Nothobranchius furzeri: one gene and its partners. The protein of the gene in region 3 purifies or fractionates together with the protein of the main gene of each other region. This does not show direct contact. Links are inferred from orthologs where the notes say so. Each region holds a gene or a part of one and is shown on either strand. Other genes may lie near its edges.

The links. The genes of interacting proteins can lie anywhere in the genome.
Region 1: the proteins of rfc4 (region 3) and rfc1 fractionate together in Homo sapiens (co-fractionation; 7 studies listed by BioGRID and IntAct, counting the BioPlex papers as one, with this or other methods). This does not show direct contact. The link is inferred for Nothobranchius furzeri from reciprocal best matches to the Homo sapiens genes RFC4 and RFC1.
Region 2: the proteins of rfc4 (region 3) and atad5a purify together in Homo sapiens (affinity purification with mass spectrometry; 5 studies listed by BioGRID and IntAct, counting the BioPlex papers as one, with this or other methods). This does not show direct contact. The link is inferred for Nothobranchius furzeri from reciprocal best matches to the Homo sapiens genes RFC4 and ATAD5.

Annotation. Positions count from the first base shown.
Region 1 is NC_091747.1:79,309,263-79,314,436, forward strand, and holds the start of rfc1 (replication factor C subunit 1), read left to right. Parts: upstream 1-1,743; 5' UTR 1,744-1,849; coding exon 1,850-1,852; intron 1,853-2,246; coding exon 2,247-2,390; intron 2,391-2,754; coding exon 2,755-2,830; intron 2,831-3,195; coding exon 3,196-3,297; intron 3,298-3,398; coding exon 3,399-3,688; intron 3,689-3,793; coding exon 3,794-3,868; intron 3,869-4,142; coding exon 4,143-4,220; intron 4,221-4,297; coding exon 4,298-4,633; intron 4,634-4,716; coding exon 4,717-4,824; intron 4,825-4,921; coding exon 4,922-5,101; intron 5,102-5,174. UniProt on the Homo sapiens protein: Subunit of the replication factor C (RFC) complex which acts during elongation of primed DNA templates by DNA polymerases delta and epsilon, and is necessary for ATP-dependent loading of proliferating cell nuclear antigen (PCNA) onto primed DNA.
Region 2 is NC_091752.1:53,827,497-53,832,597, reverse strand, and holds the start of atad5a (ATPase family AAA domain-containing protein 5), read right to left. Parts: upstream 3,432-5,101; 5' UTR 3,075-3,431; intron 1-3,074. UniProt on the Homo sapiens protein: Has an important role in DNA replication and in maintaining genome integrity during replication stress.
Region 3 is NC_091756.1:57,701,006-57,706,221, forward strand, and holds the start of rfc4 (replication factor C subunit 4), read left to right. Parts: upstream 1-1,657; 5' UTR 1,658-1,795; intron 1,796-2,901; 5' UTR 2,902-2,925; coding exon 2,926-3,026; intron 3,027-5,030; coding exon 5,031-5,109; intron 5,110-5,216. UniProt on the Homo sapiens protein: Subunit of the replication factor C (RFC) complex which acts during elongation of primed DNA templates by DNA polymerases delta and epsilon, and is necessary for ATP-dependent loading of proliferating cell nuclear antigen (PCNA) onto primed DNA.

The DNA.
Region 1 (5,174 bases), on a different chromosome or scaffold from region 3:
ACTCTTTAGATAAACTTTTTATTCTCCAAAAGAAAAGATCTTATAATTAAAAAAAGTCATTATGAACTTTTATTATAAGCAATGAAATGTCATGAATCTATTCAAGGTTTAGTAGTGTTTACTAGGTGAGGTCATCACCATGTGCTCACACCAGACAGAGTAAAGATTAATGCGTGACACAGATTAACCTTTCACCCAGACTCAGGGGCTCTATCAAGTAGGCGGGTGTGTTTGAGATTTTTGCTAACTTTGGTAATAGATAACAGCGGTCTATAAAAACCAGCCGCTATGCTTCCACCCTTAGACAAGAGTTCGAACAGCAACGGTTCGAGGGTTGGAGAGCAAAGCTTTAGACTGGCCATCTTTAGCTACAGCCTTTTTTAACCAAAAGGATTTTGACACGTCAAAACCTTACACCTTTTTCGCACCTGTGAAGATGAGAACAACTAGTTTTCCTGCAGAACAAAGCTGACTGCTGAAATCCTTCAGAGTTATTTTAAGACGCGTGGTTTCCATCCATCTGTCGTGACCCGAGACACATCTCTAGGACTGAAAGGACGGCACCTCTGTACTCTACAGCCCTCCGGTGCCAGCGGTCATCCGACCACTCTGACTTTTGGATCCACCAAGAGGGTGCCTCTACGGTAATGTAGGCACACAGCATCTGTATGCAGTTGGATAAATAACAGCTTATAGCTTAAATGTAAACCAGAACGCACCTCTCTGAAGATACAGAGATTCTGATTCATCATCTCATATTCACACATAGATTTCAGACACCCATCTTTTAGTTCCATCCACTCACAGGATAAACCATTTGTCAAGTCTTAATTGTTTGTAAAATAAACTCTTATTTGTTTGCAAACACTGACTGGTTCTTGAATCATAAACGAAGTGTGAACGATCCCTTAATAATTAAAAGAATCCTAGAACCTTCTAATTAATCATCCTAAGACCAAGCAAGGTGATATTCTATAATTAAAAGAGTATTACAGCTATTGGTCACAAGTAATACATAGCTTTTAAAGCAATTTATTTAGCCCACATTACTCTACTATTTTCCATTACAGCTTCATTCTGTTTGTGTACAGTTTGAAGTATTGGTATCATAAAAGATATTGGAGTAATAAGCAAATCTAGTTGTTTTAAAGTCCACTGCCCTTATGCTAAATGTGGGTTTTATAGGCTATGAAAAAGAAGCATATAAGTATTTGTAATCTAGCCCTACTCCACCTGATGTGTAGTATTTTTTTCAATATGACGGTTTGGTAAACCAGACAAATATATATATTAACTTTGCAATGCAAGAATTTGGTCTAGTTCACCAGGCCAAGTTTCTACATCTGGTAAGTTATTTTTATTTTTTGCAAATCTAGCAACTAAAGGTGAAGCATTCACACCTAACCTTGTCAATAAACCAACCGTTAAATAAAAGGTTAGAAATATAAATATGCAACATGGAGGGGAAAGAATATTAGAAATGAAGATACCGAATAGTTGATCTAACCACCTGAGGTGCTGTGGACGGTGTGTGATTAGTATTTGACCTCAATAAAAACGTAAAAAGGCTTTAAAAAGCGTATGTTTATAAATGTGCCATTTGTTGTGAATGATGAATAACCATTTCTAAATGTAGGTTAGTCTTCTTGTCCCGCCGGAGGCAAGATAAGAGGCGCGTGCTTCCATAAAGTTTTTTTTGTTGTTGTGTGTTTACATAAAGTTGCACTGACGCAGGCCAACCAGATTTTGCTACGTCATCTCCCGGCGACTGAACAGATTACTGCTTCGCGCCAAGCAGTTCAAGGAGTTTCTTAAATTTCTGTCAACAAACCTACAGAAGCTGTCCCGAATGGTATGTTAAACGTTACAACATTTAATTCGCACACGCGAGAAGCTGCAGATAGAAATGTAAACAACTAAAGCAAAAATAATAACCGTCAGTCATGTCGTTACGCTGCTTTCAGTTCCTCGCACAGTTTGCTGCAGCTAAACAGCAGATTAGCAAGTTTGTATTTAATCTTTACTAGAAACGTGTCATGCTGTAAACGGCGTCGTGTACATGATTCGGTTAGTAATTAAAATTGAGGCAAGTTTACATGTAACCGCTGGTTCAGACTGTCTTTCAAATCAAAACTGAAGGAATACGTTTGAGAGTAAGTCTTTAGGGTTGAATAAATACCCTCCAGCTTGTGTGGATGAATGTGTTCCAGTGTCATCAACTGTGTGTGTGTGTGTGTGTTTTACAGGACATCAGGCGATTCTTTGGACCAGTGTCAGGTAAGCCGGTGGTGCAGAAGCCAGCCCTGCCTGGAAACGCCAAATCAACCGTGAAGAAGAAAAATAATTCAGCATCTTCAGATGAAAATGAAAAAAAGAAAAAGAGCACAAAGGCAAGGACTCATTAACTTCTGATCTCAACTGATCACAAACAAATAAAAATAACTCCATCCCTCATCTTACATCTCACCTTTAAAAAACAGCTCTGCTCTCCCCACCTATTCCACCTTCCTCAGGATCCACTGATTTCCCTCGTTCCTATCCACTCTCCCTCTCTTTCTTTACATTTTTAATCACAATTTGTCTATTTTTTGCTCATTTTAAATATATTTTCAATCATTTTCTAAAATATTTTTGTATATTTTTACATTTTTTGTTTTTGTGAAGCGCCTCGTGATTTTTATCTTGAGAGGTGCTATAGAAAATATCTCTCTTCTTCTTCTTTGATTTTATTTTGAACGTTTTATTTTTTTTTAGATCAAAAACTCCAAGAAAGAAGAGCACCACAAGGGTGGTGGGAAAAAACGAAAGAAGCATGCAGTGATCGAGTCGGGTAAGCTTCAGGTCTAAGTCGGTAGATTTAACATTTATTTCTTTAGCTTCCCAAATATTGACTCTCTGCATGTTTGCAAGCTCCATTCCACATTTTATAGCAGCAACTTCGCCTCAGTCTGTTATTTATTTTATCACTGCTGCTAGACTTCTGACATTACATTGCCGCTAATTAAATTTCTTATAAAATAAATGAAAAAAAAACTTTCATGTTACACAATAATATTAATAATTTATGTAATTCTTGTTTAATCAGGAATTCTTACCATGAAAAAAGATTAAATTGCTTGTAAACTCCATGATAAATCTATTCCTTTCTAAAATATATTTTTATTTTAAAGACGATTCCTCACTTGTTTTGTTCAGACTCTGAGGAAGAGCTGGAGCCTGTGATCAAGTCAAAAGCAACAACCAGTAAAACGGCACCACCTCCTAAAAAGGATCCTGTTCAGTATGTCTCTGAAACAGGTGACACTCTCGTCTCATTCCGATTTACTGTTCTGTTGTTCCGGGATCAGTCTTCAAAAATGTAGATTTCCAGTTAGAGAATGGATTTTTTTTGTTTGTAGACTCCGACAGCGACAACTTCCTGTCCTTGAAGAAAGACTCCAAACCCAAACAGAACGGCACTGCCAAAAGCACAAAGTCCGAACCAGAACATGCTTGTGCAGAAAGCAAAGAGCGAGTGAAGTCTCCCAGTCAAGGTAAACCTGGTCTGAAAAGTCTTCCTGGGCCTACAACTCCCAAGTCCGCCCCACCTCCACCCAAACAGACCCCCACTTCCGTACTCGACTTCTTTGGCAGCGGGACGATTCACCGCTCCGACAAGAAGCTGGTAGCAAGCACCAAACGCAAGACAGTGAGTTCCGACAAACCATCCCCATTTCTTCCTCTTGACTTCTTTTTAATTTCTTTTCATGTTTGCTAAATACATACATAACTCGTAAAAACTCTTGTTCTTTAGCCGACCCACGACTTGGATGACCTGATCAGTGATGAAGAAATGGCTCGGCAGCTGCAGATGGAAGAAGTGAGGGAGGTAAATGGATCTGAAGTCTGTTCAGAGACAGTTCTGTCACTGAGGCGGTTTCCAGACGTGTGAATGTGATGGCACATGCTGCCTTTCTGTACAATAATCTAGTTTCCTCACAAAACCACCTGGTTTGGTATTTTGTTGTAAATCTGTGATTTTGTTTTATTTTAAATAAAAAAAAAGATTAAAAATTAAAATATTTAGTCATCAGAATTGTTCAGAGTCTTTTGACCTTTTTTTCCCACAATAACAATTTTTTTTATTATTATTTTTGATTCAGTTGGAAAAACAGATCCATGAGGACGAGGGGTTTGCTAGAACTCTGGCCATGCTGGATGCAGAGCCGCAGGCTAAGAAAGTAATGAGAACCATGATTATGTAGCGTGTTATCTTTTTCAGGTAAAATCTCACTGTTTTATTTATTCTCCTGCCCAGGCTCGCAAAAGCTCAGAGGAACAACCAGGTCTGAGCACAACGCCCCAAAAGAACCGCACAGGTTCTGTCAGCGCATCAAGCAGCCCGCTGAAGACCAGTCAGAGCAGCGATGTGATCAGTCCATCGCCCAGAAACACCCCAGTCACGGTCTGCTCCAAAGTGGCCATGATGAAGAAGAGAGACGAGGAGAAGAAGGAAGGACCGACGAGGAAAACATCCATGAGAAATAAAAGTTCTCCCATAAAGGAGCCAAAGACATCTCCAACTTCAGACAAGATCACACCAAAACCAGAAGTGACGCCAACAGAACTGAAAAAATCTCCCAAGAAACTTGAGGTGAGCCTCAGCTGCACAGGTCAGGAAGGGCTGCTGTGTGGAAACCAGTAAAAGAAAATGGTTTTCCTCTGTTTTCCCATCAGAACACAAGTCCTGACGATGCAGAGAAGAAGAAGCTGCACTCTTCAGCTTACAGGAACTATCTCAACAGAGAAGGGCCACGAGCGCTGGGGTCCAAGGACATCCCAAAGGTTGGAGCAGAGCTGCACGGCTGCTTTGTTGGTGATAAGAGGTGGTTTGGCTGAGATGGGCTCTGGAGGCAGCTTAAGAAAATGTTGCGTTTCTCAGGGTGCAGAGAACTGTCTGGAGGGCTGTGTGTTTGTGCTGACGGGGGTCCTGGAGTCGATGGAGAGAGACGACGCCAAATCTCTGATCGAACGCTATGGAGGCAAAGTGACGGGCAACATCAGCAAGAAGACCAGCTACCTGGTGCAGGGCAGAGACGGCGGCGTGTCAAAGCAGGAGAAGGTGAGTCACCCGGGTCGGCTTGTTTCATGATGAGTTCAGTAGTTTGTGAGATGTAAACACACACACACACACA
Region 2 (5,101 bases), on a different chromosome or scaffold from region 3:
CCCTGTGAGGAAAGTTGACCATTGAGCAGGGTTGATGATTTATCCCTTGGGCCCATGCGGCAGGGGTGAGGAGTGAGCACCACCTCACCCCTGCCATGTGGACCTCAAGGGATAAACCATCAATCCTGCTCAACGGTGAACTTTCCTCGCGGTGGTCACCCATAAAGCCAGTGGGAGGGTTAAATGAATCATTAGGCTCACCTGTGGTTGAATGCCTGTTAATTCAAATTTTATAGTCTTAAGTGTGGCTTTTCTTCTAATATTATAATTGAGGTGTACACCTTTTTGCAACATGGGCTTGAAAGGATTTGTTAGGAAAATCACTTTTTGTCTGTGAAAATTAATAAATCTCGTTTGGTCCACATTTGTGGGAGTATTTTGTATAGTACCTCGTAAAAAATGTTGATTCTAAAAGGAGACTAAAGGTTTTCTGTCACATGTAGTGGGGTGTGCTCATTTATGCTGAGCACTGTATGTATACTCTAAAACATTTCAAACGTTAATTAATCCATAATTTTTAATGGTTTTACACCAATGATAGTTGTTTTTATCCGTTACTGTCTCGTGGCATTAGATAATGAACGGAATTCTTGGATTTCATCCAAATTGTCATTCCCAAGTGAAGTTGCTAATTTAGTCTTCTTTATTTTGTTTATCGCTGACATAAACACTCCTGATTTGTGTCGGGTTGAGCTTTTCACTTTCGACTCACATGGCAAAGGTTGTAATAGTTAACAAGCAGCATGCTTGTTCTCAATATTGGATCACAACAATCCAACAAGTTTATTATTTCCTGATTTTTGACTAGAGTGGCCAGACGCTCTTCTGAGCAGACCAGACAACTCTTAGGAGTCTTTGCAGAATAGAAAAATAGAGTTTTTTTTTTTTTTATAAAAGAGACTCAACACTTTTCTACATGGCTGTTTTTGTTGGATTAAATGGACATCCACAGTCTGAAAATACTATCTATGACACACAGCATCACATCATCTGCATAAAGACACATTTCGAAACAAAGTCTTACTTTTTCTGTGAAAGTCAGGTTTCTGTGAGATTTCTGTTCTGACCCGAGTGAAACCAGTTCATATCAGGTGTGTTGACCCCATCTTTTAGTTCTTTTTAAAACACAGAAAGGTTTTATTTACCTGCAACGTTTCGTTTGCAGCTGCAAACCTTTCTGTGTTTTAAAAAGAACTAAAAGATGGAATTAGAATTTCAACACAGCAAGAACACACCAAAGAGGTGTGTTGAGTGTCTTATGGCTGGACACCACTCACTGCAGGACCAAAACTGGTGTATCCTTGATTTTCTTTATCACTATGTGTGGGATCACTCTTGTTTGGAACATTTTTCACCATTTTAAAATCTTGTTGTGTAGATCAAGCCTTAGAAAAAAATACGAACTTAAGATATTTCTAAGAACTTTGTACTAGTTAAACTCTTGTGACCTGAACATCATTTCTATCCTGGTGAACCAGACCAAATTCCTGCTTTGCAAAGTTTGGTCTGGGAATGCTCCATTGGAACCTCTGCAGCCCCTAGCAGCATTCTGGCAGGCCAATCATTGCTCTCTATAGGGGTTTCGAACCAATAGAGCACTGTGATTGGTCCATAATGGTACAACAGTGGACTGCCTTGTTTACCGACATCTCTTGCCGTGAGTATGCCACGTTGTTCGTTGTTCAGTAGCATGCGGAGATCGTTTGAAAGACAACGGTAGAAACCACCCTACGACTGAGAATCGTCAATGGAGCGTTGCCAGACTAAGTAATATATTTATTCATTCTGGCTAGCCAGACTACATCATTTCAGCTGGTCACTACTCATTAGATTATGCTTCATCCTCCTTCTCTTCCTTTTCTTCTCCAGTCTCAGGTCATGCTAAGGCCGTAAGGAGCTACATCCTAACTTGTGCAAGGTGCATTAGCTTGGAATCTCTTCATTTCCAAAGCATACCCTGCTTGCTTCCTCTTGCCAACATATCCCCCTCTTCATGACAATCAACCTTCACATTTTCTATAGGACCTCTGGTTTTTAATGGCTCTATTTGTCTTTTTTTTTTCATTTTTAAAAATAATTCCTGAGGCTGTTCTGATAACTAGTTATAACTCATCCACTCACCAGGACTGAATATGTGAATGAACACTTCAGCTAGCAAGAAGCCAGAAAACAGAAACAGCTGCTTAAAGAGCAAGTCACCCCCTACAATTTACTAACTCCACTCCCACTTCATGTTTGAAAAATGCAACAAATGCTGTTGCCTGGCAGACCGAGAGGGTGGAGCCGCTAACAAATACACACACACACACACACACACACACACACACACACACACACACACACACACACACACACACACACACACACACACACACACACACACACACAGGCTCACAATGGCATTGTGACATCATAATGTACCAGCTAACATCATAGCATACCTCTTAGCCAATAGCGGTGGCAGATTTAAATTCAGATACAGTGCAGAGTTTTTCCCTGACGACAGCGGAACACTGACAGTTTTAGGCAGAATATTAAAATTTTAGCTAAGATGCACTGAAGTGCCAAATTATTGACTACGCGTGTCTGCAGCACAATTAGACACTCGTTTATATAGTTTATCAGCAAAAAAAGTTGATTTGGTGGTGACTTGCTCTTTAAACTCTGATTCAGTCAGAACAGATATATTCTTAAATACAGACATAAATAAGATAAGAGATCTGACATTTTGTCAGTCTTTGAGTGATTTTAGTCTAGTTTCTGCTTTCCAGGAAGTTAGATCCACCAGAGGCAACAGCTCCATCTGGAGTGTCTGCAGAAACAAACAGCCTGGATAGCAGCTTCAGGCACCAAATCAACAGTCAACTTCACTCGTGTTTAAAATCAGTTTTTTGAATTCTACCTTTTAAAAGTTAAAGCAATACATTAGCAGCGTTGTAGAAATAAGACTTATTAATGGATTTTGCATTTCTAGACCAGCACTCATAGGAGATAGAGAATTAGATTTGTGTGCAAAGGTGAAAGAAAAGCTGATAAATTGCATTTTCTGTCCATAATATTTTTTAACTTCTTACCTCAAGTCACAGTGTTAGCATAGGGTTGGGCATCGAGAATCAGCATCGATTGGAACCGGTTCCAACTGTTCATCATTTTTCCCGGAATCGCTCAATGTTTTTTATTTCAATTCCTAGTTTTGATTCCCAGTATTTCGACGGAAGAGGAGTCCGCGGCCGATCTTCGTGAAAAATAAACGTGATCTCGTGACTCATGTTTTATTACTGAGCTCTGTTGTGGCTTTTTTATGAACATGTGACAATCAGCTGAAACTGTTGAGAAAAATCTGTTCAAACAAAATAACAAGATGTTCAGAAAGTTTAGAAGCCTGTGTTCATCATTAACGAACCGCATCTCAGGTCATCTGCGTTTATGTGCTTTTAACACGGACTTTACTGTCGTCCAGAATATTTAACCGAGGACGTTTTCCTACCCAACACCAGCCTCCAATCAGGTTTGTAAAACCCCTATTATCCTGTCTTCTTTACAAGCGCGTCTTCATCACCTGCTGCAGAAGCTGCTGCGTTCAAAGCTGACAGAAACGGGGATCCGTGCGCTGCAACCCCTGCAATAAACCTGCGCATTTCCAGTACAGATTTGAACATGTTTGTCGAAAGATTTGTGCAATAATCAGGTTTTTATTTTTCCTTCAACAAAATGCAAGTTCTGAATTAAATATTAATGAAACGGGGACGGCTTGTCATCGGATTTAAAAGCCGCCGCCGCTCGTTAATTACACCGTCATTTTTGAAGTCAGGCAGTCCAAATGACAGCAGAGAGGTCCACTCGCTGTTGCACACATGCGCAGTGGGCATTATTTTACCCCAACAATCCGAATGGCTGTGTGCATGCACGTCAATCGGAATGATGAACACAATAAACCACCTCTCTCAGTCGGATTGAATCGGATCAGAATATTCCGATTGACATGTTTACATGCAGAATTTTCAATCTGATTGGGCGTTCAATCCGATTAAATATGCACATGTAAACATGGCAGTTGTGCTGCAAGTCTTTCTTTTTTTCTCCAAAACACATTTTTGTCTAAATGAAGGTGATGTTAATTGTTCATAAAATTAAAATTCATGTTGAAGTTAAGATTATTTCATCAAGTAGGACCTGTGGTTAGCTGGCTCATGCAAAACATGTCATGTCTTCAAATAATCGGAATCGGGAATCGATCGGAACCGGAATCGAAACGAGAAATTGGAATTGGAATCGGAATCGTTCAAAATCAATCAATGCCCAACCCTAGCCACAAAGTCACCTCTTTGGACACCATCTCATTCATTTCCTACTCATCCCACCAATGCTGCCGTTTCTTCTTTATTGTGCATCAGAGCTGGAGTATTGATTTAGCAGGGCCAGGAGCTCACACACCAGTTGGACTACCTCCATACAAATCGATCCCTGCCAGCTTTTTGTTGTCTGCCACATGAAATCAGAGACTGACAACCATCAGATCTGAGTGCTGCGCCCAAAGAGAGAAAGCTGGATATAGAAATGGAGAACACTTCAGCTGCTTGAAGCAAGAAAAGAGACAACGCATGTAGAAACAAATATGACAGTTTTCAGCTGAAAATAAAGTTAGATTTATGCCCATTTTCATGAATTTTGCAAAATGCAACCTGACTGCCTTGTATTTATTCATCATAACTGTTACTATTAGCATAACTTGTAATTATTCTGTACCAAAAAAGGTTTTATTAACGGCAGACAGAAATAAATGTATATATTCTAACTGGATTTCAGCTAAATGAAATTCTATTATCAGTCACTGTTTCACAGCTTGAACCTCAGCTTGTTTAAAAGCAAACATTAATCTCTTGTGCCACTTTCAGCTCTGAACTGGGCTAAGTGTTTGTCCTTCTATGCGTTGGTTATAATCTAATTCAGGCTGATGTGTGGTGGTTTCCATCATGACCTGCAGTACCAGAAGGAGAACATGACTTATTGTTATTATTATCGTGTTCGGTGTTCGTTGTGAGGAAATTAGATCACTTTAGCAAATGCAATCAGTATGCAAACACAGCAGCACAAAATGAAA
Region 3 (5,216 bases):
AAACAGTGAGTCGGGGCAATTAATGGTCTAGCTAAATTACAGTAAGAAATAAAAATATGAGGAGGAAATTTTAAAAAGGGAAAGAGGACAGGACTGTGTGAAAGAAAAATTCATTAATTAGTTAGTAACTCAGGAATCACACACTACAGCTAGTCATCTGAGAACAAAAGCAACGATTTATCATGCTGTCAGTCATCAGACTACAGACTTTATGGGCAAAAGACGTTAAAAGAACAAAAACATATAAGCATATCTAACCCAGAGCACGGCCATCCAAATGGTTCATTCCATATGTTTGCGTCATGTCCCACTTGTCCAAAAAACATAATAATCCTCAAAAAGTAGATTCAAGAAATCTCATAAAGTAAAATTAAACAAGTGCTCATCAGGAGAAGGGAGGTAACTGGGGTTTTCCTGGACTCTTCAGGCTTGATGGGAGAGAAAACACTGCTGCTCCTGCTGCTTTCATGATGCTGTTTGCTGTGATGATGAAGCAGAGTTACACAGCGGAAGGATGAATCAGATGGCTGCTACTGCACCTGCCTGCAGGGACAAAGGGGGAGGGGGGTTAACAGGGCTGAACCAGTCGGTGTGAAAAATCCTGGTGCCTGGAGCCCATCAGCCCATGGACTGAGCAGCACCAAACAGACAGCAACAATGGCTTCGTCAAAACTCAGTGGGGATGATCAAACCATGTTTAAATGTATGCTACAAAGCAAACCTTTTTTTAGGATCTCTTTTCAGCATTTCACTGCTGATTCTGGGCCATGACTGGTCACCTAAGCCTTTAAACCATGTTTTCATTCAGTGCATCTGAAGGCCCTCTCCTGGTCCTGCTCCATGTTTTCACAAGTGCAAAACTAGAGGAGGGCCCGAGCATCTCTCAGGGCCACATCCTCCTGGGACTGATGAGAGTGCAGCAATTAGCCTGAGACATCTGCTCTCATCACTTATTCTGGGTTAGCTGGGCCCACAATAATATCCAGCATCAGAACTACTGCAGCTGCCACACATTATCCCAGGAAAGGCTTCATTTGAACTCATCCATTAGCACAACAAAGGGCTGATTTCATACATGAAAATTAATGTGTTGCTGTGTAAACCCTTTGTCATCTTTAAACAACAAATATAGTGCAAAAAACAGAAATATGAGTTGATATAATGAGAGAAAAGAAAAGAGACGCGGGAAATAAACAGGTAAATAGACGAGATTTTTTTATAAACGTTTTTAACTATAAGGAAACAACAAAATTCCATTAGCAATACAAAAAACACACATATTTTTAATCAAGTCGCACCTCCAACAAGTTATTAAAATAGAAAAGAGCAGAACCTTAGTGTGTCAGATATATTAATTAATTTTACGGAGAGGGAAAAAAAGGAAAAGAAGGGAACACAATAAAATCACGAAAAAAAATAATCCTAACAAACCTCAAGGAGGAGCTATTTTTCTTTTCTTGTCAAAACGAGGAAAAAGAAATTCAAGAAAAGTAGGCTGACCCACGAACGTATGAAGCCTAGTAGCAACGGGACTCTTCAACAATTTCAAAGATTTTTATATAAATACACGAGAAAGGAGTCCCGAGGAGGCGGAAGTGTGGAACATCCACAGCATCTGATTGGATGATGTTGATGTCGTCAGCGGAAGTCCGGTTCACCTCGCGCCAGGGCGGGAAGAGAAGCTCTTGTTGTGTTAGCAAACGAGCAGAAGATTCCGTCCAAACTAGCTGTTTCCTGAAGCTAAAGTAGCATTGAGTCTTGTTAGACATTCTCACGTTGGCAGCGAAATCATCTGGTAAAAGCTGGTCTCTATGATACTTTTGTTTACATCCAGGAATTGTGTCTTATTAGCTGGCTAACCTGCGTCATGTTTTATTCCGCGACTAAACTGAGAGGTTTGACGACTGTTGTGGTAAATGTATGCAGAAACGTACTTCGTCTTTTCACGTGGAGTCACGGTGGAGCAGCCATCAGTAAAAGCATATATTTTGTAACTGTTTGCATCACCACGCATGCTTCGCTTCTTGGTTTTGCTCCTCTGATAGATGAGCATCGCTGACTAATTCGTTTAATAAATCATAATAAGTCATGTCAACCGCTCAGGAATAAATATTATTTATTCTAATGAATATCTGTGTAAAACCAACAAAATGTTTCACCTTTATAATCAAGATATTTTTATACCGTTTCATTCTTCCCTCGTGATATGGATTCTCAAAAACAAATGGATGACTACATATAATCCACAGCTTCTTATTCATTTTATGTTATTACATTTTTAAACATCCTTTTCAATGGAGTCGCCATGAAGAGGCAGCAAAAGTTAGTTACACAATTATTCCTTTACACAGTTAAAATTATATAAAAATATTAATTGCATTGTAATTTTTTCTTCCCTTTTAAAGTGCAGAAAGGAAAGGACAAGCTGTATATTCTGTACAGAAAATAAACTCAAGTACTCAGTCTTCATCAGAACTATGCAGCGCTCACAAGTTAAACTGACCACCACATCTTAGTTTAATATCAAGTCCTTTTGAGAAGGTAGATCTGTCTTCATTCATGGGAAAGAATAAAACTGAGTTCACGCAGGCAGCCCCGCCTATTTTAATTATTCTGGTGCAGAGTCCATAGCCTGACCACCTTATATACAACATGGACATATATGCATAGCCAAATCCTCTTGTTACAGCTATGGTGTGTTTAGATTTCTAGGCTAGAATCTTCATGGAGTTGTTACAAACATTCAAAACTTCTAATAATCACTTTTAAAATTGCTGACATGACTTGAACTTCAGTACCCATGACTGGCGCATTATTTAAACAATAACACATTTTATTTATTTTCTCACAAATTATTTGTGTGTGTTGAGTACTCATATTTGTGCACTTCTGGTCTCTCAGATTTTCTGAAACTCCGGAAGAGTCATGCAGACCTTTTTCAACAGAGCAAGTGTCCAGACGAGCAGACCTCAGAAAGACAAGGCAGCAGAGAAGAGCGCTAAGGCTGTCCCCTGGGTGGAAAAATAGTAAGTAATAGTAAGTGTAAATCAAAAAGGTGAATCTGTTTTACTGGAACACTGAGCTGCTGATGGTTCTGGATAGGACTGGGCGATATGACCTCAAATCAATTTCATGAAATATTGAGGATTTCACCTACATAATAATTAAGGCTGCACAATATATCGTAAATATATTGTTATCGCGATATCAGCATGCACAATATGCATATCGCAAAGAACAGATAAATATCGTAATGAATGGTCAGCTCAAATGTTTGCTACACATTATGCATTCTGTCAATCAAACGAAAGAATTAGGTTTTTTTAACAAATCAAATAGAGCTCTTCACCCATTTGTCCAATTGGGTGGGTTGTCATAGGTTAGAGTCCCGCCCCCAAGGCGGACGGCCCTTATTTTTGATGGTTAGCAAACACCTGAGTTAGCTTAGTTCTGCTCTTTCTGCTGATTCTGCTTTTCCCGGGATCCACTGATTGCTTTTCCTTGTTTATTTTCTTTTCCCCTTTCTTTTTCACATTTTTGCTTATCTCATTTGTTTAACTTTCTTTTATTTCTTTGTTTTTAGTTCCTGAGTTCAGTTTTTATTATCGCAAGTAATGTCGTCATCGCAATATTAATCACTGTTATCGAATATCGCAGGTTTTCCTAATATCGTGCAGCCCTAATAATAATGATAAATGGACGATAACTACAGGTATGCGCAGAAACAAATGTTGTCCATTAGATGGGGCTGTCACATGTATTAGTTGAGTCACATTTTTGTCTGACTCAAGGTGGTACTGCTTCTTAACTCATTCACTGCCACTGACGACTAAAGTCGTCATTTTAGATTTAGACTGCTTTAACATTTAGCAGTGCTATAAATACTCACTGCTTTTCCTCCTTGGGAGCCTTTTTTCCTCAAAAATCAAAACGGTTAAATTATTATAGCTGGAAAGAAATATTAATCTTTGCCAAAAATTCTTATTGGAGGGATTTGTTTAAAATGTGTTGCACTTTTAGATCTTACCTCATTCACTGCCATTGACAACTAAAGTCGTCATTTACATTTTTTTTTTTTTACTGTTTGGGCATCGGAACGAGCCCCCGCGCCGAGAGAACAAACATCTCAGCTCTAAAGCCGATCCTCATCCGCATACATCACACGTCACATGATCAGGAAGCAGAAAATCCATGTGTTAGGAGATCCTTTTGGGCCGTTCCGGTAAAAAAAAAAAAGTGAGGCGCGAACCAGAAAAGCTTCTGCCGATCACAATTCAACAACGGATTATGAAAGAACAGATAACGCTCGAAACACGCAGATTCTTCCTGATGTAAGAGGTGAGTCTACTCTTTGTTTTGGTTGTTTTGGCGTCGACATCATCCTTACGTGCAACGTTCTGTGACTCTTAAAAAACAGTAAAAACGGTGAGAAACGCTGGCAGCAAATGAGTTAAAGGGGCATAAACATCACCAACCCACACATATCTTTTCATTTTTTTTAAATTATCAAATTTGTTGACATGGGAAAATGTATCTCTAAGAGTCAGACATTTTGATAACAATACATTTTCTATTTATTGCCCAGCCCTAGTTCTGGATCTGTGCTAGCCTCCAGATCTCCTGTTCTAAACGGATGAAGAGACATCAAACATGTCACAACTACACGTGATTTTGTTTTCCATCTAAAGAATTATGTAGGTCTCCATTTGTTTGAGGCTTTAGAAATCAGACACTTCTATCAGAAACCACTGACTCTAAAAAAACAAGAGTTTCTGAACAGCTGTTGTAAGAGGCTAACTCTCTACTCATATTCCTTTTATCGCTATACAGTTCTTCATTTAGTCAGATATTTTAAGATGATCTGAAAAATACTATCTGAGCTATGAGAGGGAAAATGACCATCAATAGTTAAAGCATTGAGGCATTTCTGTTTACATTTACCAGTAATTTTTCATTCTCCTCAAAGATTTTTGTTTATTTAACGAACAACTTACTAGGTTTAATTTTTGTATTTTTTCTTTTTACTCCAGCAGACCAAAGTGCGTTGATGAGGTGGCATTCCAGGAGGAGGTTGTTGCAGTGCTGAAGAAGTCTTTAGAGGGAGCAGACGTACGTTTCTGTCATTTTTTTTTTATGTTATGATCACTTGCTCTCTGAAACTATTAATCCCAGACAAACTAGTGCAGCTAGAATATCCAACATGCTTTTTTTCTGCA